4 linked regions of the Pelodiscus sinensis genome follow. The protein of the gene in region 1 interacts with the protein of each later gene in a pairwise test. Links are inferred from orthologs where the notes say so. Each region holds a gene or a part of one and is shown in the gene's direction. Other genes may lie near its edges. The genes, in order: HOMER3, ABI3, EIF3D and PAX6.

Region 1 (7,824 bases):
TATTAAATCTTCCAGTGTCCCCGTGAAGTAAGTATGATCTCCATTATACAAATAAGATTAAGCAATGTGCTCATGGCCACAGATGGAATCAGTGTCAGATCTGTGGATTAGAGATTAGAAATTCCTAACTGATCTTCCTATGCTCACACCACTGGCCACAAAGCTTTCATCTCTCTCTCTCTCATCTTAGTTTTTAAATCTTCAAAGCATTGTACACACACTAACTTAAGTTCCTAATATATTTTAGTGACCTTTACAAGGTATCTCTCCCTATCCCAAACAGCATCATAACCCAGTTTATGTACTTTATTGCTGATGCAAGTTTATGTGCCTTAGAGCATGTCCAAAATCCAGATACCATAACCCTCTTTGTTAAATATCTTTAACTGTCTCTAAAATGTCATCTAAAATGTCTCAGTCTCCTTCTTTGGAGAACGGTCTGAGTTCTCCAGCAGTGAAATACCCAAAGAAATTGCTGTGCTCTCTTGCTCTCTCTGTCTGGTGCCAGAGGCATGCAAAGAATGATTGAATTCTACTGCTTCCTTTTCTCCTTCGAAACATATATATGGCTGCATCTAGACTGGCAAGTTTTTCCTCAAAAGCAACTGCTTTTGCAGAAAAACTTGCCAGCTGTCTACACTGGCCGCTTGAATTTGCGCAAGAACACTGATGATCTCATGTAATATTGTCAGTGTTCTTCCACAAACACTATGCTGCTCCCGTTCGGGAAACAGCCCTCTTGCACAAGAGGGCCTGTGTAGACAGCTAAAAACTGTTTTGCGCAAAAAAGTCCCGATGGCAAAAATGGCAATCAGGGCTTTCTTGCGCAAAACCGCGTCTAGATTGGCATGGACGCTTTTCCGCAAAAAGTGCTTTTGTGCAAAAGTGTCCGTGCCAATCTAGACGCTCTTTTCCACAAATGCTTTTAATGGAAAAACTTTTCCGTTAAAAGCATTTGTGGAAAATCATGCCAGTCTAGACGTAGCCATACAGTTTGCGTTCTCCAGTTCTCAAGTTGCCTTAGCAGCAGAAGTTTCCAGACTTAGGTTGAACCCACGTCTCCTGGGCAGGTGCTCTTTCCTGCCACACTACCACATCTGCTTAAAAAGATAATTGAAAAAGATGTCTAGAAACCAGGTGAATGCAGTCTAATGACCTATATAAATTACATAGAGAAAAGACCAAATTATTTGTTGTTTAAAGCTTCCTTCACACTACAGGTTAAAGTATTTTTACACTAACGCAGAATGCCAATCTCTCCTTTTGAATGCATCTTTTATTCCCTAAAACATCTATTTTACAACAAGGACCTCTATTTGCACACCAATTGTGGCCAGCTATTAAAATTTACTAAACATCCAACAATGCTCATGTTCCCAGATTTATATTTGGCAGTTTTGCAGGTGCTAATTAATAGCAGTTTGCACTTTTCAAGGAAAGAGCTAATGGTGGGACTAGCCATCAGCCTTTATTAAGTAATGGAGTTAGAGAGTAAGAAGATTTTACATAAAAAATGTAGAACTGAAAATGAGAAGGCTGAAGAGCTGCTGCAAAACCGTGATGCTAAGTCCTCTCTGATTGCAGTCACCCATTGTAGCAATGAAATGTAAAGAACTAGTTTGAAGGTATGTATCTTGGACAGTGAATGTGCTTTGAAAGGGATTATACTGCCATTAAGAATACCCTTTAAGTTTAGGCAGTGATCTGTTGTGTGCTCTTGTCTGTGTTCTCAGCCACTGTTTAAAGAGCTGTGGGAAGATTAATGGTGCAAACTTGACAATGGCTGGGTAATTAATGACATGAGGGGGGATGATCAAAATATCTAATTTCTGGTCTCTTCTGAAGGGCAGAAGATATTAATTGTCCTCCTTCAGCAGGAGAAGGCGCAAATGGAACAAAAACCCTGTTAAAGGACATCCTTACAAGGTTACTAACACCTGATTTTAGTGCAATTCCTGCTGATCTCATTACCCTAATTTTAACATGTAAAATAATTAGCTTCTAAGAAGAGCCAGAGATAACCTACTGTTAGCAGGTCAGTATGAAAAATACTGTGTGTCCTACTTTCAGCAGAGTCTTCAGTGGTTTATTGTAGTCCCTTTATCATTGGTGGCCAGGTTGTGTGTATGAAGACAGAGAAAATGGAGTAGAAGGAGTAAGGACCCAATTCATTCATGTCCTGGTGTTGAACTTGGCTCTGGGCCTGAGAGAGGAGGCAGTCTGGGAACTGCTGGTTAGTCTGCCAGCTCAAGTTAAGAGAGGCATCAGAAACTTTTCACCTGTTGCCACAAACTTTCTGACAGTGACTATTCAAGGGTCCACTTGCAAAATTTCAAAATGTTCCCATCAGTTCTAACACTTGTTCAGCTCCACTGGTGTCAAATGTTGGGAGCTCTGGCATAGAGGTATCATTGGTTTGCACTGCTATTTTAAGCATTGCATTATCTCACTTTTCTCAGAAAAGGTCTAGCTGTAGTTGACGTGATGGTTAAAACACTGGCACGTGCTTTGTCCCAGCACTGTGAATGCTGGTGACAAAGGATGAGGATTCTAGATACATTTGAAAGGCAGGTGGAGGGGATAATAGAGAGAGGAGGGGACCAGCATCAGTACTGTTGCAGTATCTAAAGGTCCGAATTAGGCACCTGGCTACATTATGCTAGGCACTCTGCACAAATATAACAAAAAGTCCCATGCCCCAAAGAGCTTACAGTCTTATCTAGGGAAAACCTCCTGTTTGTCATCCTTATATAAGCTCCATCTAAATACTGCTCAAAGAACAGCTGCTTTTCCTGAGTTTCCTGGGGAAATGACATGGGCACAGCTTATCATTATAGTGCAAGCCTGCAGTGCCCAGAAATTATGAGGGCATGGAAAGTAAAGTTCAGAACTGCCTGGAATTAATGCAAACTCTTTTCCTTATTAATGTGGGCGACCTAATAAAATACAAGCAAAAAATGAGATTGGACTCGTGCAGTAGCCACACATTTGAACACCACAGCCAATCTGCTCAGGTCAGGCCTGCTGTTAGACTAGTGGGAGGTTGAAACACCGTGGTAGTGCCTTTTGTGGGAGCCCTGTTTGTGGCATTGCTATAAATCAAGGCTGATTGGAAGAGCTGTGTTCATTGGGATGGGGAGAAGCCCAGGAATACTGTCTTGCTGCAGTAAATGTGAACATTTGCACAGCGGTTGCCTGCTCTAGTGAGTGCATGTGCTCACACACTCAGACCCAGGTACAAATGTAGCTGCCAGAATTTAATGGGCAAAGTATCTACAACAGACCATTGATTCTCCCCACCCCATCCACCTCCAGTGTAGCTGGTACTGTTCATGGCGAGATGTGATTGACTGATTTATGTTGGTCCCTAAGACAGAAAAACAGTGCCTTAAATTTTGCTGACATAATGTAGACTTACTGTAACTGTATGTTCCTTATTAACAACTTGGAGACAAATATATACCCTGTGTTGCTCTGCTTTGTGTCTTATCATTTGCAGTGGCACAAAGGAACAGGGGTCACCAAATTAAATTAACAGGTAGCAGGTTAAAAGCAAACAGGGAATTTTCTTCATGAAGCGCACAGTCAACCTGTGGAACTCCTTGCCAGAGGATATTGTGAAGACCAGGACTTTAACAGAGTTCAAAAAAGAACTAGATATAAATCCATCAATATTTATTAGCCAGAATGGGCAGGGACAGTGTCCCTAGCCTCTGTTTGTCAGGGGCTGGGAATGGATGACAGGAGAGGGATCATTTGAGGATTACCTGTTCTGTTCATTCCCTCTGGGGCATCTGACACTGGCCACTGTCGGAAGACAGGACACAAGGCTAGATGGACCTTTGGTCTGACCCAGTCTGGCCGTTCTTATGTAACGGGGATGTAAAATGTTGCCCTTCTAATCTGGTAGCATTTTGCACTGGCACAAATGATTGCAAAAGGTACAAGTCACCAGAGAGCTGAGCACATAATCATCCAACTATATAGGGCTATGCTCATCCCTGGTGTAATGCTGGGGAAGTCCGTGGACTTTCACCTGGGGAGGGTCTGGCCCATTGTGTTTGAACAGCACTCAGCACAATAGCGTCTCAGTTCTGATTAAAGCCTTGAGTATTCTCATAATAGGTATGTTTGCTGCAACTGCTAAGCTACTTATTATATGCATTAAGATATTTTTAATACCGTCTAATCTGTTTGCATCCTTGGGGCCTAGTGCTTCTGTTTGTCTGTCTCCATCTCTAGATTCTGGTGTGTTTATCCATCCAACCTTCCCTTTTGTTCATACATTTTCTCTAGAGGCCTCTGTCTTCATTGCTTCAAACCTAGTTCAGCTATTTTCACCTGTGCAAAGTGGATGTAAAATGTAACCAGATGTACATGCCAGTGTTTCGCACTCGCCCTGCACAGCTATAGATGTCAGTGCAAGGAACAGAGCAATAGTGGGATCAGGCACTGTCTTTCGGAAAGGTTCTGTCTCTAGGCTCAGATAAAAGGTGTCGGGTTTGTTTTTTAAAACGTGTGCCAACATGCTTGAAAATGCTAGTCTAGAAAGAGCAAATTGTATTTTAACATGGACTAGCTGACCAAACAACTTCCCTCCTAGTCTAGACAAACTCAGAGGCTGTGTCAGATTACAGCATAGGGGTCAAACCCTGGAAGAAAGCCCAGGAACGAAGGCGGTGGGAAGTGGGGTTGGGGCATCTTTGTGTGGTGCTGGTAATTTAGCTGCTTGGTGTTACTGTGGGTGCACAGTACAGCTGTGCCCAGCAGATGGTGCCTCTGAGCCAGATGGAACCCATTGGAAATAAAGTCAGGAGAAAGAAAGAGAAATGTGACCGAGATGGGGCAGTTGGCAGAGGCAGGAAGCGGATAAAAAAATGAGAGAGAGAGAACAAAGAAATCGCGATCGAGAGAGACAAACTGTGGACACAGCTTCACTTTTCGGGCTGTGGAAAAAACTTACAGAGCAACTCCGTCGCTGGAATAGGAGGGAGGCGGCATTATTGCAAAGGGTTAGCAAAAGGAGCAAATAATCTTGTGGCTGCTGCCCATGCTGAAGGGAAGAGGGGATCCCCGTCAGCAAGATCGAGGAAGAAACTGCCTGCCGGAGATTGCAACATTTCCGTAGCAAAGTGTGTTCCAAAGTTCTCTCTAGGATCTCCTGGGCTGTAGCTCTTGGTGGGGAGATCTCCCACCCAGGAAGGTTGCCCTAACTGTCACCCCTCCCGTGCATGCTTTGGGATTATAGGTCATTTTTGTTCAAACAACAAAACTAGCGGATTTCAAAGTGAAATTCCGGAGGAAATTTATAGAGCATCCGGATCCGGAGAAAGAGAAGAGGAAGGGAAAAATAAATAAAAACGTGGAGTGAATCTAACACGATCCAAGAAGAGACCAGGAAAAAAAAACCTGACACCGACTTGGAGATGGGGTGAGATTAGCAGTTTGGTGGTTGTGTTGTTTATTGTATTCATGATGTATAAAACGTGGTGTGTTTTTAATATAGCAGAGTCGAAGAGATCAGGATTTCCAATTGCAGTAAAGAAATTCAAGTTTACATATAAAAAAAGGCCCCTAACCTTTCGGGATTCAGGATGTAGATAGTTGCAGAGATTTGTAAATTACTTTGTGACCCAGGATGTGGCTGGAAGTCTCCAGGGGAATGCATATGTTGTATACAATTCAGAATGGCCCTTTGGGGTGACATAAAGGACCTACTGCCTTTGCAGATGTTTCCAGAAGTTAGAGATTTCTGATTTTGTTTTGCTCTTGTGACCTCGGTATTCAGTAAAATGGACCCAACTTACATTTCTAAGTGGGTAAATAGTGTGACTGAAAAATCTCTGATCATAACCCGTAAATTCTTTCGGGGTGAAATATATTCAATCAGGCACTGGCATAGAAATGGAAATGTAGCTTGATATTTGATTATGCACTGGTAATAACCCCAACTGTGTAATTTTAAGGATCTGGCATGCTGCTGTGAGTAAGTTGCTTGTGTAATGAACACTTCTGGGCTGCTAAGAAGCACGCTGGGGCTGGAGGAAGCCCCTGCCTGTTCAATTTCTCCAAGCCTTTGAGTTTGACATTAGAGGAGAAATAAGTAACAGTTTAGTGGTTTGTGTTTCTTTTGCTGGGTTTTTATTTCTCTCTTGGGCAGCCGGATAAAAAGACTGAACAGGGTGAAACCGATTCAGATGGCAGGAGGGACATAGATACGGATTCTGATCTCAGAGTCTCAGTGTGAACCTAGAGTAAATCTATTTAAGCCAGTGGCATTTATACTTGGCCAAGTTAGATCAGAAACAGTCCCCTGTTTCTTGCAACTGCTGTGGCTACACCCAGTGGCTATGCAATTTCTTTAGACGGGTGCCACTTCTCATGCATAATGTTGACGCTGCGGTCATTGTGAGGGTAGTTTTAGATTTTACTACAATGATAGCGTCAAGGCAGCAATGCTATAGTTCATGTGCAGATGACATTCCTCCCCGCCTGGTTTTCTGTCACAGAGAACTTCAGAGCTGGAAGGTCTTTGTCTTGTGCATAGATTTACATGGAAATGTTGAATAACCAGCAGCAGGTTTAGTCCCCTGGATTGCTAAGGGAGTAGGAAAGCGGTAGCTTTGAAATGATTTTCCACCAGTCAGTTTTAGTTGATTTGTATTTTAAGCTAGCGGTCAGTCGTTCCCACCCCCCTCCCTTTTGACTCTGAACACCTCATGTGGTCAGATTTCCTTGTAACCCTTGTCCCAGTAATATCCAGGGTGTAGCTTTCATGGATAATTCATTCCTGAACTCTAACATATCCCTGGTGTGTGTAGGTTTTGAAGCATTGCCTTTTCACCTTTAAATAGCTAGCTGTAAATGTCACTTGGGTCACAGGAGAAGTGAATTCATTTACCTCCTAGCTGTGTCCATACTGGGCATTTGGGTCCACATTTCAAACTAGCATCGGACAGGCTCCGGAAATGCTTAGTGTTGGCTGCTGGGCGTGTTTCGGGAGACCTGCCAGTGCTGTCCAGGAGCAATGCTGAAAACAGTGAAGTCAGAGCTAAAGTGCATTGGCAGAGCTGTGCAGGCTTCCATGTGTGTGCCCCTGTTGTACAACGACACATGAGCAGAAACGTGGTGGAGCCCAGTGGAGTGTTCACAGATGGTAAAGACTGGAGCAGCATTAGCAATAGGTGTCTGGTAGAAATGCTTAGCAATGCTGCTGGGCCTTTAAGTGCCCTGGTTCCCTTCCCCAGGCCTGAACTTGCATGCCTGGCATTGTGTTCCTCAGGCTAATCCGACTGGGGCATAATCAGCCAGGATTCCTCCGGAGCCTTTTATCTACAAACAGGCTGGGAGAGAGTCACTTTCAACCTTCATGCTGAGCTTTGCTGGTTAATTTCACCACCACAGTGGGTGGGAGCTTTCTAGGAGGGACAGGCTGCGCTGCTCCATTCATCCACAGGGATGGGGCCGGGTTGCGGGGAGGAGGCAGGGAGGACTGCAAGTCCTGTGTCTCTGCACCCCATCTGGCCACTCAGCTCACCATTGCATTCCCACAAAGTGGTGGTGTGCAGGATGGCTCGGAAGTGAGCTACAGAGCTAAGAGAGCTTGTGAGCCGGAAGAGAAGAGGCAGTATCTCTTCTGGTTAAAGCAAAAGGCTGGAAGTCAGAACTCCCTGGATAGCACTCCCAGATCAGGAAGGGCATGTGGTCTAGTGGCTAGAGCAGCCAGGCCCTTAAAGACCCGCTGGCTGAGCCCTGCAGAGACAGAGCAAATTGGGTTGTTAGCAAGCTACACCCTGTTCACTCACTCCCATGACTAACCCAGGA
Region 2 (7,785 bases), on another chromosome or scaffold:
AGCCTCGTTCGCCGTCTCCCCCTCAGAGACAACCCGCCTCGGCAGCCTCGTTCGCCATCTCCCCCTCACACCACCCGCCTCGACAGCCTCGTTCGCCATCTCCCCCTCAGAGACAACCCGCCTCGGCAGCCTCGTTCGCCGTCTCCCCCTCAGAGACAACCCGCCTCGACAGCCTCGTTCGCCATCTCCCCCTCAGAGACAACCCGCCTCGGCAGCCTCGTTCGCCGTCTCCCCCTCAGAGACAACCCGCCTCGGCAGCCTCGTTCGCTGTCTCCCCCTCACACAACCCGCCTCGACAGCCTCGTTCGCCATCTCCCCCTCAGAGACAACCCGCCTCGGCAGCCTCGTTCACCGTCTCCCCCTCAGAGACAACCCGCCTCGGCAGCCTCGTTCGCCGTCTCCCCCTCAGAGACAACCCGCCTCGGCAGCCTCGTTCACCGTCTCCCCCTCAGAGACAACCCGCCTCGGCAGCCTCATTCGCCGTCTCCCCCTCAGAGACAACCCGCCTCGGCAGCCTCGTTCGCCGTCTCCCCCTCACACAACCCGCCTCGACAGCCTCGTTCGCCATCTCCCCCTCAGAGACAACCCGCCTCGGCAGCCTCGTTCACCGTCTCCCCCTCAGAGACAACCCGCCTCGGCAGCCTCGTTCACCGTCTCCCCCTGAGACAACCCGCCTCAACAGCCTCGTTGGCCATCTCCCCCCTCACACAACCCGCCTCGGCAGCCTCGTTCGCCGTCTCCCCCTCACACAACCCGCCTCGGCAGCCTCGTTCACCGTCTCCCCCTGAGACAACCCGCCTCAACAGCCTCGTTGGCCATCTCCCCCCTCACACAACCCGCCTCGGCAGCCTCGTTCACCGTCTCCCCCCCCCACAACCTGCCTCGGCAGCCTCGTTCGCCGTCTCCCCCCTCACACAACCCGCCTCGGCTGCCTCGTTTGCCGCCTCCCCCCCACATAACCCACCTCGGCAGCCTCGTTCGCCGTCTCCCCCCTCACACAACCCACCTCGGCTGCCTCGTTCGCCGTCTCCCCCCTCACACAACCCGCCTCGGCTGCCTCGTTCACCGTCTCCCCCCCACACAACCTGCCTCGGCAGCCTCGTTCGCCGTCTCCCCCCTCACACAACCCGCCTCGGCTGCCTCGTTCGCCGTCTCCCCCCCACATAACCCGCCTCGGCAGCCTCGTTCGCCGTCTCTGCAGAGCAAAGGGGAAAACCCAAAGGATGACAATGGCGGGGGAGGAGGGAAGGAACCGGGGCGTCTAGTGAAACACAGATTGGCTGGGAGTGAGGAGGGGGATGCAGCTGTGAACAATCCGAAGATCGTTGTGGGGCGTATTTACAGGCCCGGTGTACGTGAGACGTGGCGGGTAATTGCCCTGCTCTGGGGAGGCCTCCTTTGCTATTCCGTGGCCGGGTCTGGGCCTGGCGCCGTGGGGAGACCATGGACCGGTTGAGGAGAGTCCAGAGGGGAGCAACAAAAATGAGAAAATGTTTCGAAAACCTGACGTGGGTGGGACGGTTCCAACGCCTGGAGAGGTTTGGTCCTGGGGGGGACTTGACAACAGGCTTCAGCTCTGGCGAGGGCGAGGCTGTCGTCACAAGCCTGGTGCCCCGGGGCTCCCCCATCCCCTGGAATAGGGCTCACGCCGCAGCCGCAGGGCTGGGTTAGACGCAAGGAACATTTGCTGGCTCTCGGGGGAGGGAGCTCTGGAGCAGCATCCGGGGAATCCCCATGGGTGGAGGCTGGGGGAAGACGGTCAGGGCTGGGCTTTCGACTCTTGGAGGTCCTTGCTAGAACGACGTCTGATTGGAGCAGCCTAGGAGCATCTCTCAAGTGCAGATTGGCTACCCCCCCCCGGGCCATCGGCCAAATGGAGAAGGGCGGAGCTGGGGGAGCTGGCGGCGCAGGGGCAGATGAACCCGGCCTCTGTGTCTACTGGCAAGTGCTCGCATTGGGAGACTCTCCAGCTGGGCCGAGCTGCCCTTTGATCTGCCCAGAGGGGCTGGGATGGAAACCCCTCCCCCCCCGCTGCACATCGTACCGTGGACTGGACGATACCCAGGCTGGGGCTGCGTGTGGCTCCGCGGCGGGGCGGCTGCGGGGCAGCGTGAGGGCACTGCCAGCCCCTCCGTGAGCTCTGGCCGGCCGAGAGGAGTCCGTGGCCCAGTGTGAACTGTCCCGGCTCAGCGCGGGTTAGATCGGAGGGTTGGCCCGGGCCCGCCTCTGCTGGAAACCTGGGTCCCGCCAAGCAGGAGGAAGCCACGTCCTAGCGGATTTCGTCCCTAACTCCTGCGACAAAGCTCCCCCTCCACCTGGGGCCTGAGCTCTCGGGGGTTGACTTGCCTCCCTTCAGACACCGGCTCGCTGTTTGTGGAGACTCCCATCGCAGGCCAGCACGGGGAAGAGGGGAAACCAAACTTCCTCGTCTTTGCTGCCCCTCCCGGGAGTGCAGGGAGGACAAACCCTTGCACCCAGGGCCGGATTAAGGCATGAGCTAGCCAGGCAGCTGCCCCAGGTGCCAACCTATGGGGGGCGCTGGATGGCAGCTGTGAGGGGCGCTGTGCAGCCGGGCGCGTGGCACCCCTTAGAGCTGCCATCAGGCGCCACACAGCCGGCTCCCAGGGCAGGGGCTGCGTTAACCCCCACGGCGCCGGCCAGCAACGCCATTACCCGCATGGCTGTGGGGCCCTGCACGGCCAGGCTCGTCCCGCCCCAGGCGGCCCCGGGCTGCGCACCAGCAGCAGTAGCCAGGCTGGGCCGGGCCGGGCACGTGCATCCTGCCGCCGCCAGCTCCACGTGCCCTCCCCCTCGTGCTGGGCGGGGGCGGGACCATGCATGCACCCTCCCCCGCACACCAGCACGGGGGCGAGGCCGCGCATGCACCCTCCCCCAACCCAGGGCACAATTGAACTATCTGCCCGGGGCGCCGGAATGGCTTGATCCAGCCCTGCGTGCACCCAAACCGGTTCTTCCTAGTCGTACAATGGGGAGCTGCTGGCGAGAACCGGGCCTGTCCTTTACCGCAGGCTCCGGCCCAGGGCCCCCGCAGCAGCCGCTGTCTGGAACGTCTCTGGTAACCGCTACAAATCCACAGGCCACTTCCCCACGGGCCACGCCCTTCCACCCTGGTACCCACCTGCGCTTTCTCCTCCCAGCCTCCCCCGCCCCTCACTCTCCTCAGCTCCCTCCTCGCAGCAGAGCAAGCAGAAGGAAAAAGCCCTTTTAAACCAGCCTCAGTCCGGCCCCTGTGAGTCTGGAAGCCTCCTGCTTGGTGCTAAGTGTTTTCATTGGCCTGATTGCGCTGACTGATTCTAGCAGGTTCCTGCTGGTTCTGGATCAGCCCTCGTTAGTCTAGGCTGGGAACAGAGACCTATTTAATCCGGGGCTAATAGATTTCCCCTCCACTGCTCCCCGGTAGCCCGACTCGGTCACACTCCCCACTCACCGCGTGCCGTGGGGCCGGGATTTGACCCTGTCGATGGCAGAGCCGCATTATGACTTTGGTGGGCCATAGGCACCTTTGCCTTCGTGGGCCCCCCCCCATAATAATATCAATTGTAAAAATGATTTTTGATATAACTTTAAATACTTCAACATTTTTTTTTCTGTTTTAGGCAAAATTGAATCGATTTTCGTGGGCCCTAAAAGTTTCATTTTTTTCTGATGTGAGAAAAATATTAAAACATTTTGACTATGTTCCCACTCGCGGCTTCTTGCGCAAGTAATATGCAAATGAGGCTAAGCGTGGAATATCGCCGAGCCTCATTTGCATACCTAATGAGCCACCATTTTTTCAGAAGAGGCTCTTGCGCAAGAAGCGTCTACACTGCCCCTCCTTGCGCAAGAAAAACCCTTTTGCGCAACGCCGTTCTTCCTGTCAAGTAATAGGTGTAACGGCGTTGCGCAAGGGGGCTATGTCTAGATTGCATCCCTCAGCACGGAGCTTTGCCGGAAAAAAGCGCCAGTCTAGACGCGGATCTTTCGGAAAATAAAGCCTTTTCTGAAAGCTCCCTTATCCCTTATTTTAAGAGGGCCTTTTGGAAAAGGCTTTATTTTCCGAAAGATCCGTGTCTAGACTGGCGCTATTTTCCAGCAAAGCTTCGTGCCGAAAAAAAGCGGCAGCCATTTTTATGCTAATGAAGCGGGGGAGATTTAAATCCCCGCTTCATTAGCAATTGCGATACGTCTAATTTGCATCCCTTTTACGAAAAGAGGGTGCAATCTAGACGCAGCCGAGGGTTTTTCTTGCGCAAGAGCCTCTTCTGAAAAAAATGGTGGCTCATTAGGTATGCAAATGAGGCTGGGCGATATTCCACGCTTAGCCTCATTTGCATATTACTCCCGCAAGAAGCCGCGATGCAGACGTAGCCTTTCTTCGACCCTAAAAGGTTTTTTTTCCTTCTGATTTTAAAAGAAATTAAAACATTTTCGTGGGCCCCTAAAAGTATCGCGGGGCCCAGGCACTGAGCCTACTGGATACGTCGGCCCTGGTCGCTGGGCTACCGGGGAGTCGCAGCTTCACCCCAAGCACAGCAGCCAGCTTCGGCTGTACACGTGGGCGCGGACACGCGTGGCCGCCCGGGAGCCCGTTGCGGGACAGTTTAGCTCCCTGGCCGCTGGGACTTTCTTGGAATGTTTCTGTTTCCAGCGCCCCTTGTTCTTCTGCCATGACTCACGTCCCCTCTCGCTGTGGCTTTCCTCGGCCGCCCCCAGCGCTTCCCCTGCGGCTGGCAAACCCCGCCCGGACGGCCCCTCTTCCCCCCACCCCTTCCCCCGGAGGATCACCGCAGGGTCTGACACCAGCTCCCCCCGGGCCAGCTGCGCCCCGCGCCCCACAGCGCGTGGGAGCCACGTTTCCTCTCCGGGCCGTTCCTAAGTTTCCCGAGTGCGCACGGGAAGGGGGGCGCACGGATCCCAGCGGGCGCTGAAAGCCGGGTCCCTCCGAAGCGGCCCCCGGGCTGGCGGGGCGAGTGGCCGGGGCAGGCTGGGGCCCCCCGGTGGCGCAGAGGGGCAGGTGCGCAGCGGGGTGGGACTGCGCGCCCCGCCCGCCAATGAGCGCAGCGCAGCGCCCGGGCTGCCTGGGGAGCCGCTGGCGCGCAGGAGGAAGCGGCGCGCAGCATGGCCGAGCGGCAGCAGCATGAAATCCCCGCGGCCAGGCAAGTCCTGCGGGACAACTACAGCAACCTGCACAGGCTGGCCGACTACTGCGAGAGCAACTACCTGCAGGTAGGCGGGGCCCGCGGCTGGGCCGGCCAGGTGCCGAGATCCCGGGCATCTCACACTTAGGGGCATGAAGGCTCCGCAAAGGGGCAGCTGGGCCGGCTCTGCCCAGTAGAAAGGGAAGGACAGAAAATGATCTTGCCTTTGGGGAGGCAGTACGGCCTAGTGGCTAGCGCCCCACACGCCGAACTTGGCTTTTGGCCCCGTCCACACAGCCCCCTGCACTGGGATCAGACTTGCACATCGCGCCTCTTATTTCGAAATAGGCAATTTTGAAATCTGGCCCGTCTCCACGGCGCCGAAGTTCGAAATAAGAGGCTCTGTCGCACCTTCCCTTATAGCGCCCGTTATTTCAAAAAATCTCCCAAAATAGCCGTGCAGTGTAGATGCAGCCTGCGAGAAATCGCTCCGTCCGTTGTGCCGCGGTGTCCGTCTGTCCTGCGTGCGCTGCCTGTAAGCTCAGAGGGCCGAGTAACCGTGTCTGACTGTGGCCGTGTTCTGGGGGGAGGTGCAGTCTTAACTCAGATCCGACCCTAAGGGGAACCTGATCTTCAACTTGACTTGCAAGTGTCCACCTGGCGCCTGCCTTCTCTTCCCTGGGCCCTGGCTCGCTCACGGGAAAGGCAGGTCTTTGCAGAGCGACGCCAAGCCCCGGGGCAGGTAGCTCCTGCATCCTCCTTACAGTCCAATGAGCTCCAAGTAGAGGGGGAACTAAAGCATAAGCAGATGAAGTGACGTGCCCAAGGCCACCGGGGTTGTGGGTGGCAGAATCCCGGTTGGACCTGGGATCTTGTGTCTCCACATGCGGTATCTATCCGCTAGCTCCCCCCAAAGCGCTGGGCTCTGTGCCAGTAAAGATCAGATCAACCCTAACAAGGTTTCCCCTCGTTCATTTCTAGCCCTCCGCACAGGGCGTTAACGGGGACGCCTGCCCAGTTCCTCAGGTACAAGTGGGGCGGGAGGCGGGGAGATAGGACACTTCCGTGGGGGGGGGGGTTGTTCCGCGTGGTGACATGTGTCAGGAAACGCAGAGGTCGGCGCTGAAAGTCTGCACCTGTGAAATAGCAGAACCTCCCAGGGGCACGAGCAGCAGCCTCGGCTCCCCGCTTGGTCCCCGCGAGAATGTTCCGAGCTAGTTCTGGGGTGAGCGGCTGTCTGGTGTGACTGCTTCCCGCCCAACCTGCGGCGTCATTCCCTGCTCTGAGCGCCCGGCGCTGGAAACCCACCGCCTCCCCTTGCCCGACGGGGTGGGAGCGCAGTCCCGCAACCGGATCTTATTTCCTTGGCCCGTGAGAGCTGAGAGCAGGGCTCCCTGCTGGTGGCTGCTCTACCGAAGAGGTTACAACCCAAATACACCAGGGGAGCAGGGTCCTGATTGTACAGGAGGGGGGCCGAGGTACAGAGATCCAGGTCCCAATTCTCAAAGGGATTTAGGAACCGCACTCCCTTTGATTCCCATGGACGTGAGGTGCCTAATTACCCTGGGAAGGTCTGGGCTCCACGCTCAGATGGCAGAAGCAGGAGTTGAATCCCAGTGCCCGGAGTCGAAGTCCAGCGTGCCTGCCCCCCCTCGTCCAAGAGGGCTCCAAAGAGCTGTCTGAACTCCAGAGGGGAGGGATGAAACTCCTCCCTCTGAGATGCAGCCACTTCTGGGGTGGAACACAGCCAGCCCTGCCCAGCCCGCCAGGGCACAAAGAAGAATCGCGCCGCGACCTGTTGGAATTTCCATGCCCAGCAAGACAGTGTTGGGAAAAGGGCCAGGACAGAAGCACATTTTGGATGCCCACATCTGGCCAGCAGCTTGGTTTTGCGCCCCCAGCCCGGGCTGAGCCAGCACTGTGACGGCGCAGCGCCCCTGCCAGACGGCTCGGCTGTGGGCCGGTTCCCAAGCGCGCATGAAGCTAACCCGCCCCTGCTTAGCTGGAGAAGGCACCTTGCAGGGCCTCAGTTCCTAAAGGAGATGAGGTTTTACAGCTGGATCCAAAGCCCATGCAAGTCAATGGCCAGTCCCCGCAGCGCCCTCCACATCATGCTGCAAAGGAGGCTCCGTTTCCTCCTGCCCCAATGCAGGGTTCTAGGGCCACATCTGTACGCACGGCTGGGTGGGGACCGGGGCGAAGGCATGGTCTGTTGGCAGAAGCCGCTCGCCCGCGGACGTAGCGCCGGGCCCACAAAGGTGGACTAGTCACCCCCCGAGTGCCACCCGTCGCGCCACCCGAGGCCGGAGTGTGGAGCCAGCCTAGGTGTGTTTCCCCCTCCCGAGGGACAACGCTCTGGCCTCCCTGCCTGCGACAACAGCCGGGCAAGGCGGGCGAGGCAGCACCTTCTCCGGCACCATAGAGGCGCGTTATCAAGCTGCACAGAGCTGGGAAGGGCAGTTTGGCTCCTGCTGCACCCGAGATTGGGTCCCGTGCAAGATTCCCCCTCCCACCCCACTCCCGCCTCTCTCTAATCTTCGGGGACCAGCCCCACGCCGCCGCTGGCCAACGGGGACTGATGGTCGCCTGTGTCCTCCCGCCCAGGGCAGGGCGGTGCCGTTTCAGGCAGACAGTGACAGGCGCT
Region 3 (7,369 bases), on another chromosome or scaffold:
CACTTCTCACCTAGTCTTTCTGCTTTGGATCTTGAGCCTTTGCTCCTTTCACTATCCCCTCTCCTATGCAGAATGTCAGCCCAATAATATCCTACTTGAACCCACAATATTGTCAGGTAAAATGTATTAATTCATCCCTAAGAGGAATAAAAAAAAAACTTAGTTATAGACTATGTTACTACCAGGCCACTTGCATAGGGTCTTAGGGCCTGCTGCTAGTCAAGTCAGTGGCAAAAATCTCATTGTCTTCATCAGGTGCATTAGGAGAGTCAAGAGAATGTATGTAATTAAAGTTGCTATGGCACAACTGAAATTGGCTTGGTGCGGCTCCTACCAAACTGTTAATGGGTTACTACTAACATACTGAAATCCCTGGATCTGCCCATTGCATTTATCATGTTAAGTAGGGATGAAAAAACCACCCAGAATAGTTAACCAGTTAAACAAGTTGTTTAACTAGTTAAACACTGGCTGCAGGTCGTGGGGGCTGCTCTCGTCCCCGCTCACAGCAGCTGTGAGTGGAAGGGGCCATTCTACCCCCACCATGGCTGTGACTTGGTGACAGGGGCTGCAATGGGCCCAACAGCCCTGATGCTGGGCCGCCATAGGCGGGGGGCGCTCTGGTTAATCAGTAAGCATGCTGGTAAGCCTTTAACATCCTGGTTAACCTTTAACATCCCTAATGTGAAGACCGCTTGATTGTTGGTCTACTACAATTACTGATTGCTTGTATTTTATAGGGTATATTTCTATAGGCATATTATATCTTACTGGTGGCTGATGAGGGGATATTGTGGGTTTTAAGTAGCATTTGTTCTATCTCTTCTGGAAGGATTTAGCAGTCATGGATTAAGTATGGGAGAAACTTTGTATGCCTCTGAGGGTACGTCTAAACAGCAGCACTATTTCAGGATACATCCAGTATCCCAAAATAGTGTTTTCTGCATCTTAACAGCGTGCCCGTTATTTCAAAATTTTTTCCTAAAGCAAAGAAAATTTTGCTCCTCTTCTTGCACATACTTACCCTTCAAGTATTTTGTCAACCTCTCCAGACACACAAAAAACTAACTAAATAGGTTTGGCATTATTATTTATCTTTTATAATAAATGTTAAAGGGTCACAGAATTTTTTTCCTTCAAATAAGGGGTCATCAACCCCAAATTATTGAGAAAAACTACTCTAGACCATCATTCCTATCCATCTATGCTGCCCTGACTGATACACACACAGAGACAAATAAGGTGGGCGTAGTAATATATTTTATTGGACTAACTTCTATTGGTAAGAAAAACAAGCTTTCAACTTTACACAGAGCTTTTTTGGGTCTTGGCTTAAGAAAGCTTGTCTTGTTCACCAACAGAAATGTTCAGTAACAAATATTACCTCTATAATATCCTGGGACTGACAGGACTGCAACAAATAGTGCCCAATACACATCGACTGTGTCTAGACTGGCAAGTTTTGCGGAAAAACTTGCCAGCTGTCTACACTGGCCGCTTGATTTTGCGCAAAAGCACTGATGTTCTACTGTCCGAAATCAGTGCTTCTTGCGCAAATGCTTTGATGTTCCCATTCGGGCAAAAGCCCTTTTCCGGAAATGTTTTTGCACAAGAGGGCCAATGTAGACACCTAAAAACTGTTTTGCGCAAAAAAGCCCCGATGGTGAAAATGGCAATCAGGGCTTTCTTGCACTAAATCATGTCTAGATTGACATGGACGCTTTTCCACAAAAAGTGCTTTTGCGGAAAAGCATCCGTGCCAATCTAGATGCTCTTTTCCACAAATGCTTTTAACTGAAAAACTTTTCCGTTAAAAGAATTTGCATAAAATCATGCCAGTCTAGACGTAGCCATATAGTCTAGAGATGGGCATTTTGTTCCTCACTATGCCAGAGATTTACTGTGTGAACTACTGGAAAATGTCTATACCTCAATTTTCTTTATTTGTAACATGTGGGTAATATTTACCCTTCCTAGTAGGGACATTTTTTAAGCCTAATTTTTATTTGTAAAGCACTTTGAGATAATTAGATAAAGAACACTATATAATTGCAAATATTTAATTTACTAAGCAGGTTGGATCAGCATTCTTTGCTGTTTGATTTTAGACAGAAAAAGATGCCCTGGATATTATAAACAAAAACCTCAGTGCAAAAAGCAATCTTCTTGAGATCAGAGGTTTAGATGAGTGCTGACCAGATAAAGTACCAAATATCTTAGAGATAATGAAGAATGTAAGGGATTAATTTACTACTAGAACACCATGCAAAAGCCAGACACCCAAGTATTTTGTTTTAGGTAACTAAGAGAGGGAAAGGATGACTTAAATAAACTTCATTGCTAAAACAAGGGATACACGGATAACCTAGTAAAACAAAATATAATCCCAAATTCTGCACAACATAAACATTGGGTTTTATACCATGTGGTGATTCTCCCCTCCTTTCAGCAGGTAAGACTGGGAGAGAAAAGAGAGCCACATATGTCCTCTGAAGTAATAGAACTGCTCTGGGTAAGGCATACCTCACCCATCTACTAGAATGTTTTGAGGGTGTCTACAAGCATTTGGACAGGGCTAATCCAATTATATATAGTGTACTTGAACTTTCAGAAATCCTTTTTGACAAGGTCTCTCATCAAAAGCTATTAAACTAAGCAGTTGTGGGATAAAAGGGAAAGTATTTTCGTGGATCAGTTAAATGGCTAAAAGACAGGAAACAAGTGATAGGAATAAATGATCAGTTTTAAGAAGGGAGCGATGTAAATGGCAAGGTCCTCCACGAGTATGTACTGGGGCCAATGCTGTTTAACATAATTGTAAATCTGGAAAACAGAGTGAACAGTGAAGTGGCAAAATTTGTAGATATAAAATGAATAAAAAGTTAAGCTGACTGTAAAGCATTACAAAGGGATTTCACTAAACTGGGCAGCTGAGTAACAAAATGGCAGATGAAATTAATTGTTGATAAGCACAAAGTAATGCACATTAGAAAAAATAATCCCAACTATACAGACAAAATGGAGGGAATCGAAATTATCCTTTTGGAGTCACTGTGGATAGCTCTCTGAAAATATCTTCTAAGTGCGCAGTAACAATTAAAAAAAGCTAATAATGTCAGGAACTATTATGAAAGGGATTGAAATTAAAAACAGAAAATACTATAATGCCACTATATAAATCCATAATACACCCATACTTTAGATACTGTGTGCAATTCTGATCACATCTCAAAAAAGATATATTACAATTTAAAAAGGTGCAAACAAGGGCAATCAAAAGTATTAAAAATATGGAACAGTTTCCATAGGAGAGATTTTTAAAGTGAGGACTGTTTTACTGAGAAAAGGCAACTAAGGTGGGAAATGATAGAGATCTATATCATGAGTGCTGTGAAAAAATTCAGGAAGGAAGTGTTATTTACCCCTCAGACAGCACAACTAGGGTACAAAAATAATAGGCAACAGGTTTTTAAAAAAAAACAGGAAAGTACTTCACCCAAGGCACAGTCAACCTGTGGAACAGGAAGTTGTGAAGGCCAAAATTACAACTAGGTTAAAAAAAATATAACTAGATACGTTAATGATAGGTTCATCAATGGCTATTAGCCAAAATGGTCCAAATATCCCTAAACATCCAACTGCTTAGAGGGTGAGACTAGGCAACAAGGGATGGATCACTAGACGTTGCCCTCTTCTGTTCATTGCCTCCAAAGCACCTGACAATAGCCACTGCCAGAAGACGGACTAGTGGTCTGATCCAGTATGGCCGTTCTTACTAGGGACGTTAAATATTGATTAACTAATTGATTTCCATCGACTATTCGATTAGCGGATAAGAACTAGCGCAGGCTCCCTCTCTGAAATGTAGAACAGCCCCAGCTGGCAGCCTGGAGGAGCCCCGCTCACCCACCCCAATGAGCGAATTCCTGCGGCAGTTCACGTCCAGCCACGGCAGCCAGAGATGCGAAAAGCGCCATCCCCAGGCCCCGCCGCGGGCGCCGCGTGTAACCCAAACCCACCGCCGGGACCCGTTTGAACGGGCTCGCCCCGCACCCTGGGCTGCCGCCCCGCTTCACCCCGCAGGAGCCTCTCGGAGCGCGCTGCGGACAGGCCGGGCGCGGTTGCAGCAGCGGCCCCGAGGCACAAGGATGAGGCGGCTCCACACTCGTGGGGCCTTCGACCGGCCCTGCCCCCAACCACCCGGGTGCTCGCTTAGCCCCAGCAGCGGAGCCAGGCCCGACCCGGCCTCCTTGCGGCAGCCGGGGGGAGCGGACTTTGGTGCTTTACGGCAACTCGCTCTCCTCCCCCACTTTGGTGCTTTACGGCAACTCGCTCGCCTCCCCCACAGGGCGGAATAGCCCTGTTTTGCTTTTACGACGATGCGTCCGGGGGCGGCGCGGGGTGATGACGTGGCGGGCGGTGCGCGCCGGCGTGTAACCCTAGCTAAGGTTCTCCCGCAGCCTTCACCCCCCCCCGACCCGCATCCGCCTCCATCGGGACCCGGCTGGGCCCGCACAGGTGAGGGGCGCGCGCAGGGCTCCGGCCGGAACAGGCCCGCGCGGCCGCGCGCGCGACTTGGAGTCTGTGGGGCCCGGATCCGCCTTGGCCACGGGACGTCCAGGCCAGACACCGCCTCGCCGGGCCTGCCGGGGCGGGAGCGCGCGGCTTCTACCCTGTCTGGGCCCGGGCCCGGCTCCCCCCCTGGGCTGCTCGCCCGTCCCCTCGGCTGGCCCCTGTTTCCCAGGCGCGGCTCCCGCAGCCTCACAGCCGGGCCCTGCTGGCTCACGGCTTGTCTCCAACCTGCGGTACTCGCTGCTGCCGGATCTACACATGGCCGAGCACGTAGGCCCAGGTCCTGGAGGGTGTTTCGGAGCTTAGCACCTCCTGATTTGAGTGAGAAGGGCCTAAATCCCTTTGAGGAGCTGGGTCTTGATGACACAGGATTAGATATTTTTGGGAATAAGAATAGCTGCTTCACAGATGCTAGCTAGGACAATAAGTATAAAAATAGTAGATCCTCAAGCATAAAGGCATGGGTGTGGTCTGAAAGAAAAATCCATCTGGGAAGTAATTGTGCTATTATGCACAGTAAAGAGAGATATGAAACCTTTTTCCAGGGCTTTTTATATTGGTCACAGACAGGCACTTGTCTTGTTCAGTTTTGTCTAACAGTTCAGTTCAGGAGATTCGTACACAGGAAAGTAATTATTCTATTGCATACCGACAGTGCTGTTAGAGCTGACACCTTCACCTTTTCCTTAACCCCAGAAATTCTGGGAAATGATCCTAGCCCTACGAACTTTTCTCTGTGTTTGTGGCCATTAAAAGTGGTACCACCTATTGTCTTTTGAATGGTTGTCATTGCTCATTAGTATCCAATGAAGTTTCCCAGCAGTTTTGTAGAGTTAAAATGTTCCAAACACTTGAACTACCTCCACCCCATTTTTTTTCCCAAGGATTTTAGAAGATGGCTAAATTCATGACGCCTGTGATCCAGGACAACCCCTCCGGGTGGGGTCCATGTGCTGTTCCAGAGCAGTTCAAAGATATGCCATATCAGCCCTTCAGCAAAGGGGATCGTCTGGGAAAGGTACCTGTGCTAACACTACTAAATAAATCACTGGAGTAATCAGTTAATGCCCATATGTTAGGCTACTTGGAAATTCCTGTTAGCTGTTCTTATCATATTTGCTGTCTTAGTCCTATACTGTTCCTAATAATGCCTCTACACACACATTGGTGCTCCACTCCCTATAGCTTCCTTATCCCTGTTGCAGGTGTTGTATGAACCAAGACCTCTTGATAGTGTGCATAAGCAAAGCAAGAAGTTTGAAAGAATATTGATTGTTATAAGATGATTGTAAGTGTGACTCTGGAATAGAAAGCACTGTTTGCTGTTGCTGAGTGGCTGAGTGAATTAAGAGATTGTGGAGCAAAAGAGAGTATAAGATGTTGGATGACACACGCTCAACAAGTTTGTTTCTGTTGTCTTTTTTATTAGGTTGCAGACTGGACAGGAGCCACTTACCAGGACAAGAGATACACAAGTAAGTGCTATGTTGGTGGCTGCTCTTTGCTAAGATACTTCATATGAGGTTTCTTAACCATCTTCTAAGTTTCCTGTAAACTGCATGGCCAAGCGGTCACGCATGTCCCTATTTAGCACTACACAAGGTCTCTAGGAAGGCCCTGCAGCAGCTGGGGAAGGGCCATCCCAGGCCCAGTTTAGCTTTTGTGCCAACCTGCTGGGTCTGTCCAGTCCTGAACCAGCCCCAATTATACTACAGCAGCCCACCCCACCTCCTGCTATGCCGTTGCCAGGAGAGGTGCTGTCCTACTCTCCCAGCCCAGATGCTGCTGCAAGAAGAGAGAGCCGGGAGAGTCGTCTCTCAATGAAGTAGCCCCGGAGCACCCTCCACTTTGAATCCCTCCCAAACCCAGCCAAACCTCAAGGGTCTAGATGGACCCTTATCTAGAGCCCTCACACCCCTGCACTCCAGCCTTCTGCTGAAGCCCTAAGTCCCTTTTCCCTTACTCCATCCCAGAGCCTGCACCCCCCGTCAGAGCTCTTGCACCCCAACTCTCTTTCTGTTGGTGAACAAGCCCTAAGCTGCTTATCCCCAGCCTTACCTGAGAGCCCAAACTCCCAGCCATAGTCCTAACACTCCTGCACCCCGACATTCTGCCCTGGCCTGAATCCTGTCCCACACTACCAACCCTTCAGCCCCACCCTCAATACATGAATTTCGTTATGAACACCAATATGCAGACGATGTGCCACACATCACTTCCATATTGGTGAACATAACATTCGTTCCGCTCAGGGTTGGGAAAAATTAGAGAGAACATTAGTCATGCCTGCTTCCCTCCCTCATCTTTGTCTCTTTAACTCAGAAGTGTGCCCTACCCTTGGAGAGAGAGGCACTTGAGATCCTCTCTATCCTTGGGGTTGCTTCTGGCTTTGAGCTTCCTTGTGACATGGTACAAGGATGGAAGCCTCACCCCCTAGCTCCCAGGCTTTTCTAAGGGAAAAGCCCTAGCTGTAGTTTCAAGCGGGGGTGAGCCAAGTGACAGGGTAAGAGGGCTAACTCTGCGCTCATGTCATGAGGCATCGTTTGCAGACCAGCAACAAGGTAATTTGGGTCATTGTGTCCTCAGATAAGTACTCATCACAATTTGGCGGGGGGAGCCAGTATGCATATTTTCATGAGGAGGATGAGACCAGCTTCCAGCTTGTGGACACAGCACGTACACAGAAGACGGCATACCAAAGGAATCGTATGAGATTTGCACAGGTACCTTGCACATTTCCTGAAACCTTTCTGAAGCAGTAAAATTGCTGTAAAGATTTTGCTTATAACCAAAACAC
Region 4 (7,332 bases), on another chromosome or scaffold:
ACAGAGTCTTGCTAGAACGAGTGTAAGATTTGAAGAAGTTTAAAAAATATGAGGCCACATAGTAGATGCTTTATACTAATCTTACCCGTTGCCCAGCGTACAGAAATAGAATTCTTCCGACTGCTCTGAAGCCCTTTAGATCGGATTCTATACTCAGCGTGGTGAAGTAACTCCGATTTCTAAGTAGTCACACACCCACACACGCCATTTTAATACTATTTTGAATCCTTTAAAAAACAACAGGGGGACTATCCATTTTCTATTGAATTGCAGCAAAACTGAATTTCCAGGATGAAAAAAAAAGCAAATGACATTTGTACATCGCTCAAAGGTTAAACGCAATCCTGTCTGGAAAAAAAACTACCTCACACCATTTGAACTGCCGAGTGATGGTCGGAAAAGCCCGCTACACGCAAAGTATTTAAAAACACGTACCTTGGACAAGGGGAATAGATCCCAGCTAACATGCTAGTCAAGTGTCTCTTTCCTTGGAAGCGAAGCCACATTTCTACCCACGATCTTTTTCCCCCCTGGTCTACGAGGTTGCTGATGGTTTTTACCGTTTATTGTAGCTAGCCGGGGACCCTGCCGTCTATGCAATGCCACAGTAAACAAATTGTTCTGATGTGCTTATTATTATTGCTCAAGTTCTGCTTGGATAGAGAATTAAAGCTCATTATTACAGAGTGTGTTGTGAATTGCTCAATCTGTGGGAACACCGGGGTTTGGGGCATCCTTAAAACCCCTTCCTGCCGCAGTGTAAATCAAATGTGTATCATGCTTATAAATGGGTAACACGTTGCTGTCTCTCTGCCCTCGCCCGAGCCACAGTGGCTGTCACAGCGCTCAGGGATACCGCCCGGCAGCGCGCAGCGAGCAGCTAGCGGGTTCGCTGCAAGGCTGCTCCCTCCACGTCCATCCGCGCTCTGCGCCCTCGCTGGAGCCTCTGCCTCGTTGGCGTGTGGCTCTCTGCAAAAGGGCTTCGGCTGCTCCTGGCTGGGGCCGGGTCCCCGCACAAGCCCGGACCCAGACGAGCCCCGCTCAGTCCACAAGAGGCGTCCCGCTTTCCCAGGGCACAATTATCTGCCCGAGAAAAAACTGGCGCAACCGTTTCCACGCAGGGTGCTGGCTGGGCTCACTCGCTGCCGCTGGCTTGCGCGCTGCGGGGCTGGCCACTCCCTGGGCTTCGTGGCAGACCGCCAGTCAGCCTGCCCCTCCGGGCCCCTCACGCGTGGTGCGCGGTGGTGAAAACACGAGGGGTTCACCAGGCCACCGACACGTGCCATGGTTGTGCGGTGGGCTGCGTGCCCCGCTGCGGAGGGGTTAGGCATTGCCCCCAGCCCCAGGGGCAGGGCGGGGAGCGAAGCGAGCCCGGGATCCCGCTCGCGGAAACCCGCCGCCGGTCCCGCCCGCATCGCGGCCCACGCGAGGCTGCCTGGGCGCAGGCTGCGGTTGCCGCCTGGACTTTGTGGCCCTGCACACTGCGGGGATCCCAAAGCCAAGGGCGGGCCCGTGCGCCTGGCTCAGTCCGTCCCTCCCTTCCGCCCCTTGGCGAGCGCTCGGAAGGCAAACAGAGCCACGCTCGGGTGTTGGCCGGGGGACTGTTTGTCTGCCTGCGCCAGGGCCCGGCCAAGCAGACTTGGCTTCACGCCTGATGGGTTTCTGGAGAGCGGCGCGCTTTGGAGAGCAGGGGAGGCAGCACCTGGCCCTGCGCTAGGAGCCATCTCCTTTTATTGACAGCCAGATAAGCAGGCGGCAGCCGTGGTGTTTCCAGCGCTTCCTTCGAGAACCCTGCTGGGTTGCAGGGATCCGGAGTCCCTTAATAGCAGCGACTCCAAACAATCCGTGAAACACCTTCCTGACAGCCCGCGCCCGGCCTCGCCTTTCCACGCGGGCAGCATTAGCCGCTCGCTAACCCGCACTAGGGCCCCTCCGCCCGGTGGCAAAGTGAGCAAACAGACGCCTGGGCGGAGGGGGAGCCGTCCAAACAGAACCCAAATTGTGTGTGAACGGGGGCCGACGGCCTCCCGATGCCGAGCGACGCTTGGCACAGCCGAGAAGCGCTGCTCCCCCCGCCGCCTCCCCACCCTCGTCTTCGACATGTTGCCCCACGCTTAGCATGCGAGCCCTCGTTTTCCAGGGCATTCGCAACTCAGCCTCACGCTGAGCAAATCCCTGGGCCAAAGGAAGGGCGGAGAGGCTTCGCGTTGCCTACCCCCCAAATGGCATCCAAATATTGGCTTTTGGAAACATGGCCGATCGGCAAAGAAACCTAATTCAAACGGGCAAAAAAACGCTCTCGCCCAGGGGAAAGTCCGCATTATAACCAATATCCCGATAGCCTGGTTCCAACTGCGTAGATCCGATACAGGAACATTGTCTGCAAAGCTAGCCACTAAAAACCGATTGCAAATATACTGTCCAGAGGAGAACTATACCCAATATTTTGTTAGGTAGAGAAGGGACGTAGTGAAAAGAATCTGGGTACTTTGTAATAAAAAAACAAATCCCTTTCAAAGACTACCTCCCATGGAACTAGCAATCCCCGACAAATCAAAGACAGAATGCAGGTTCATGAAACATTTACGTTCAGTTCCATAAAACCGTCGACTAGGCTGTACCTCTTTTCTGATCAATTATTTACCTCGACAACTGTGTGCAAATAATGGTATTTCTGTCTTTAATGGGACAGGAGGCAGATAAGAGGAAAACCTAGCGGAATAAGTACAAAGAAGGCTCCCTGAATAACCACGGAACCTTTTTTATCTTTTCTTCAAGATTTAAAGTAAAATTCGTGGTGCGGTCATTTCCAAAAGCTATTTTAATAAGACAAGCATTGATTACTGCCGTTTTGCCAAGAGCCAGTCGATGACAAGAGAAAATGCCCAATGCTGTGACAATGTAGAGCAAGTCAATGTCACCATAATCCATGCATTGTAATACGTTTTAATAGTTAGAGTAAGAAAAGAACCACACCTGTATGCTGTAGAAGTAATCGTTCGCTATTTGCCAGCCCCAGATACAGATGTTAGACATTCTGTTTATCACATAACCGCCGAACAGTGCGGTCTCTGTTCTCCCCAAATGGTTAATTACATTACAACGGATTTTGCCTTTTGAACCTAGTTTTTAAAAAGACCAACTGGAAGGTGGAGATAGACAGCAAGCAGTTCCTGCTGGTAAAAGTTCTCGAAAAGCGATTGGTAAAGCATTTGAAGAAAGTGTTCTCCCCTCTCTGTCCTTCGCACCTCAGTCTGAAACAGGGCATTTATGAACTCATTTTTAAACGTTCAAGGAAAAAGTCAAAACTCAGCATGAGTTCCTTCTTCTGAAGCAGTTAAAATGTATTGACACCCGCTTGATAATAAACCAACCCATTTTTCTACTTAACTTTGCAAACATGTATTTTTAAATACCGCTCTGCTGCTTAATAAAGACTGGCTGGAGTAGGGGTTCATAATCTTATTCCTGCACTGCAATAATCCTAGTAGCCAACCACAAATAAACATTTTATTTTCTACCTGACTGGACCTACTCAGTACACGAAATCCGAGACGCAATAGCATCAATGGACTTTTAGTGATAACTGGGGGACTGGATCTTTTCTGACCTGTGCAAGGCAGGCACAGGGGCCACCCGAAAGGAGGGTGAAGTTACCTTAAAGTTTTGGAGCGTGGCAGAGAAAGGGGTAGCTCTCTCTAATCGTTCACAAGGGTCTGATAGATCAGTTGCCACCGCAACTTGTGCTGTGAAACAGCCTGTCTTGCAAGTAACACTTCAGGTGGCAGGCTGAGTTAGGAAGACAAGCGTGCCTTTGGAAAAGATGGGGAGAGGGGGAATAACCACGCACGACCATAAGGTACTAAAGGTGAGGCCACAAGAAAAGACGGGAAAGTGCAGCAAGGTGAACTTGGATATTCGAAAGTCTGGCCATCCTGCTGTAGCTAGCTCCGTAGCCTACGGCTGCTACTAACTACAGCTGCAGGAACCCCCGGAAAAGGTATTTTACAGTGTAATACAGCATGCACTGTGTGCCTTGCAAGCTGGGAATGCAATGCCACTGGTGAGCATTAATATTTCCATAGAATAATATGGTGCCTTAAATACTCCCCGGATTCAGGAGGAGCAGGCAGTGGGGGAAAGGGTTTAGGCCCTATATGCCCGTTGTTATCTAAAATTTCTTATTAGCTCAGCTCTAACTACTGTCCTCCATGACGTCACCGCGGCCGCCCAGCCAATAGGGGAGGCGCTGGCGTTGATATTAAGGGAAAGTTAGTGCAAAGCAAGACACCCTCTTTTTTACTGTCATTGACATTTAAACTGTGTGGCAGATTCTTATGTAGAAATTGGCGATCAAACCTGCCAGTTATCTACAATCGGCAAGGTAATAGTGTGGGAATCGGCAGGTCAGGTTCATCTGTCTGCACTCTCTGTTCCAGGTAACATTTTATACTCCTTTTCTACAGTCATTACTAGTGCCACTGGCTTGCTCTGAAAATAATAATCCGACCCTCTCTCTCTCGCTGAATCTTTTGCCTGCTTTGCTGTGTCTGTGTTCCTCTGTTTGTCTTTGAAATGGGCCGAGTACAGGGACTGTTTTAAAGTTGTGCTCTTTTCTGGTACTTACAAAATACATCAGTGTCTATATTAGCTGGCCTGAGAATGAAGTCTCGCATATTTGGGCGGAAGACTTTTGCTCCTGTTCACCGCTGGTTGCGAACACGGCCACTTCTGGTGCAACTCAGTTATTCGTGTAGGCTTCATCACTCTGTATCCGTTTTCTCGCCTTTTGTGTAGGTTTTTTGTAACGTTTTGCAAACCCCACTCTACAACAGGTGGGGAGGGGATGCCCCTTGTGATCTCGAGCAATTAACTCGTCTGTTTGGAAACTGAGTCTGAAACTTTCCACGCTTCCGGGGAGTGTGGGTACTTGAGCGGCCGGGCGCTATCAATATTTGATTCGCTTCTCGGAGTTCAGCTAGAAATGCAAGAATGCGGCTCACGGCGTTGGGTAGCCTTTTAAATCTCCCGACCGTGTGATCTGCGCTTTGCTCGGGAAGACCTGATCATTAGCGATTTGCACTGAGGTAGAACGGCGGGGACTCAAGTTACACTAAGCCCGGTCACACCCTGCCCTCGCTTCCAGGCCGGCTGTGGCCACAGCGAGCCCCGGGCCCTTGGCGAGTTTGATAAGTTACAGGGCGCAGCGCAGGAAACCGCGAATCCTTAGAAACTGGCTGGCTGGTTCTCAGGCGAGCCCGGTCCCGGTGCCTTGCGTGCGCTGCGAGGTGTGTTTCACACTCAGGCTGTGCAGGTGTGTCGATCCAGACAGCCCTGCTCAGCCATGCCGTGCATGCACATGCGTGTCATTCCACACACGCACTCCCAAAGCCGCCCTGCTATTTCCTTCCACAGCGAATCAGCCTCAGAAGCTAACACGGGACGGTTTTAAAGTTTCAGCGTAGGTTGGGGGGCGAAGTTTCCACGCTACCCCTGTAAGTGAACGGACCGATTTTGGTTTGCATGTTGTCTGGGGGCGGGTGGGGGGGGGGATTCAGTGTTCAGTCGCATTTTCTAACGCCCCCACGGAAGCGCAGTTTTATTTGGAAATGAGAGCTAAAAGTGGTCTAGCTGGAGGCAGGAGGGGAGGGGGAAGTGGGCTGCACACTTCAAATGTTTCGCCTTTTTGCCTTTGAGTCTAGTTCCTCCGCTTTATACTTTCGAGATCTGATTGGGAGCTGTTCCGAGGGGTAGCTACTTTGGCTAGCCCGAATTCGTGAGCGCACGGAAGTTCTGTAGAACCTGTGAATGGAAACAGACCCTAACTCACAATCGCAATCTTTCCTTGGTAATTTCTGCGGTGTGCACTAACGAGGGGGCGAAAGGGAAAGAGGGAAATCCCTCTACTGTAGGTAGACAAGTGTAGGGAGCTCACGAGAGCTTTTCAAAAAACTCAAAATGGAAATCCGGAAACACAATTGACCTACCCTCCCTGTTTTCCTAATATTCCTCAAGGTACTCTAGCAGGAAGGTTCGCGGCAGTGCCTCCCTCTGATACACCGATAAATGGACATTCTCCTTCAGTAATAAATCAAACACCATCCATCTCAGATCCTCCTCCCTAATTAGAGATGTTTATTGGAGATTGTGTTTATCCAGCTGTCATGCCGAGAAAAAGCTGTGACATAATTACCTCTGACCAGATAGTCTTTTACATGCATATTTCATTGACATATAATGCGATTGGCTCGCATTAAAAATGACAAGATCAAATGTTGATTTTACCAGCTGTAATAATATTTCTGATTATTAAATTAATTGAAATGCATCTTTCAGATGGTCCAAATTCTGGTAACGGATTGTGAAATGAAAGCTTTGAGTCATTTATTTCATGGTGACATCAAATAATGGTGCGAGTGAAGAAATATGGGAAGTTACTCAAATAAAAGCTACTTGTTTTTAAAAGAGAATTAATCTTCAGTTAAATAAAACACTTTATATCAACCAAAGACGTACCTACACCATTTTCATGTTGTCACAGATCCCACCGATTTACCGTTTTGCTTCTAATCCAAAAGGCCTATCTATCTATCTATCTATCTATCCGCCCAAATTGTCTTAAATATCTCTAGTTCATATTAACAATGTCACTTTTAAAATGTGCCTCTAGCTGCGGGGAATAAGATCTTGATTCATTGGCTCCCTTAGCCTTGCCAGCGTTTGTGTAGCCATCTGTCTGTGTCTGTTAGGAAGTGATGATAAGCTACGAATTACTCTGTAATTGAAAATATATTTTGGGGGGGAACTGGTTTTACCAATATCAAGAGTGTAGGCTTTTTATCCGTTCTGCTGCCCGTGTTCTCCAGTCGCTAATAAAACTCAAATTGAGCTCCTTAGTGACTTGATTAACAGGCAGATTAACTGTTACGGGAGGTTTGAACAGCTTGTCCCAATCAATAGCATTTAAAATGCCCGTCAGGATGCGCTTAGCTCGCTCGCTCTCTCTAAAAATAGGCTTTTCTATCAGGTCCGTTTGCACGACATTTTTTCACATATAGAATCAAAGGCTGTCCCGTATGGAAACATGTGTGTTCGTCTTCCAGATTCAGAGACAGCAGCATGACTTCGTTAGGGTCCAGAAATACGTTTTTATTCTTGCACACAAAGCTGTGCTCTATGCAAAAGACCAACATAAAAGAGGTTAAATCGATTCCAAACTTTTTGCAGATTGTTTATAAACTAGAAAAGCTCCACTTAACTCAATGTCCTGTGCACTAGAGGTTTCAAGCACGGTTCCTGTGTATACAAATAGGCATTCAGTGTCCCGAAGGC

The links.
Region 2: the proteins of HOMER3 (region 1) and ABI3 interact in binary tests that used the Homo sapiens proteins (3 or more experiments, as listed by UniProt). The two-hybrid records come from large-scale screens. The link is inferred for Pelodiscus sinensis from reciprocal best matches to the Homo sapiens genes HOMER3 and ABI3.
Region 3: the proteins of HOMER3 (region 1) and EIF3D interact in binary tests that used the Homo sapiens proteins (3 or more experiments, as listed by UniProt). The two-hybrid records come from large-scale screens. The link is inferred for Pelodiscus sinensis from reciprocal best matches to the Homo sapiens genes HOMER3 and EIF3D.
Region 4: the proteins of HOMER3 (region 1) and PAX6 interact in binary tests that used the Homo sapiens proteins (3 or more experiments, as listed by UniProt). The link is inferred for Pelodiscus sinensis from reciprocal best matches to the Homo sapiens genes HOMER3 and PAX6.

Annotation. Positions count from the first base shown.
Region 1 is NC_134729.1:19,308,432-19,316,255, forward strand, and holds the start of HOMER3 (homer protein homolog 3), read left to right. Parts: upstream 1-4,806; 5' UTR 4,807-5,426; coding exon of another isoform or gene 5,427-5,431; intron 5,432-7,824. UniProt on the Homo sapiens protein: Postsynaptic density scaffolding protein. Binds and cross-links cytoplasmic regions of GRM1, GRM5, ITPR1, DNM3, RYR1, RYR2, SHANK1 and SHANK3.
Region 2 is NC_134739.1:14,541,776-14,549,560, forward strand, and holds the start of ABI3 (ABI gene family member 3), read left to right. Parts: upstream 1-4,774; 5' UTR 4,775-5,121; coding exon 5,122-5,229; intron 5,230-6,703; exon of another isoform or gene 6,704-7,785. UniProt on the Homo sapiens protein: May inhibit tumor metastasis. In vitro, reduces cell motility.
Region 3 is NC_134711.1:93,328,378-93,335,746, forward strand, and holds the start of EIF3D (eukaryotic translation initiation factor 3 subunit D), read left to right. Parts: upstream 1-4,364; 5' UTR 4,365-4,518; intron 4,519-5,456; 5' UTR 5,457-5,467; coding exon 5,468-5,590; intron 5,591-6,001; coding exon 6,002-6,047; intron 6,048-7,158; coding exon 7,159-7,295; intron 7,296-7,369. UniProt on the Homo sapiens protein: mRNA cap-binding component of the eukaryotic translation initiation factor 3 (eIF-3) complex, a complex required for several steps in the initiation of protein synthesis of a specialized repertoire of mRNAs.
Region 4 is NC_134714.1:97,376,816-97,384,147, reverse strand, and holds the start of PAX6 (paired box protein Pax-6), read left to right. Parts: upstream 1-4,323; 5' UTR 4,324-4,439; intron 4,440-7,332. UniProt on the Homo sapiens protein: Transcription factor with important functions in the development of the eye, nose, central nervous system and pancreas. Required for the differentiation of pancreatic islet alpha cells.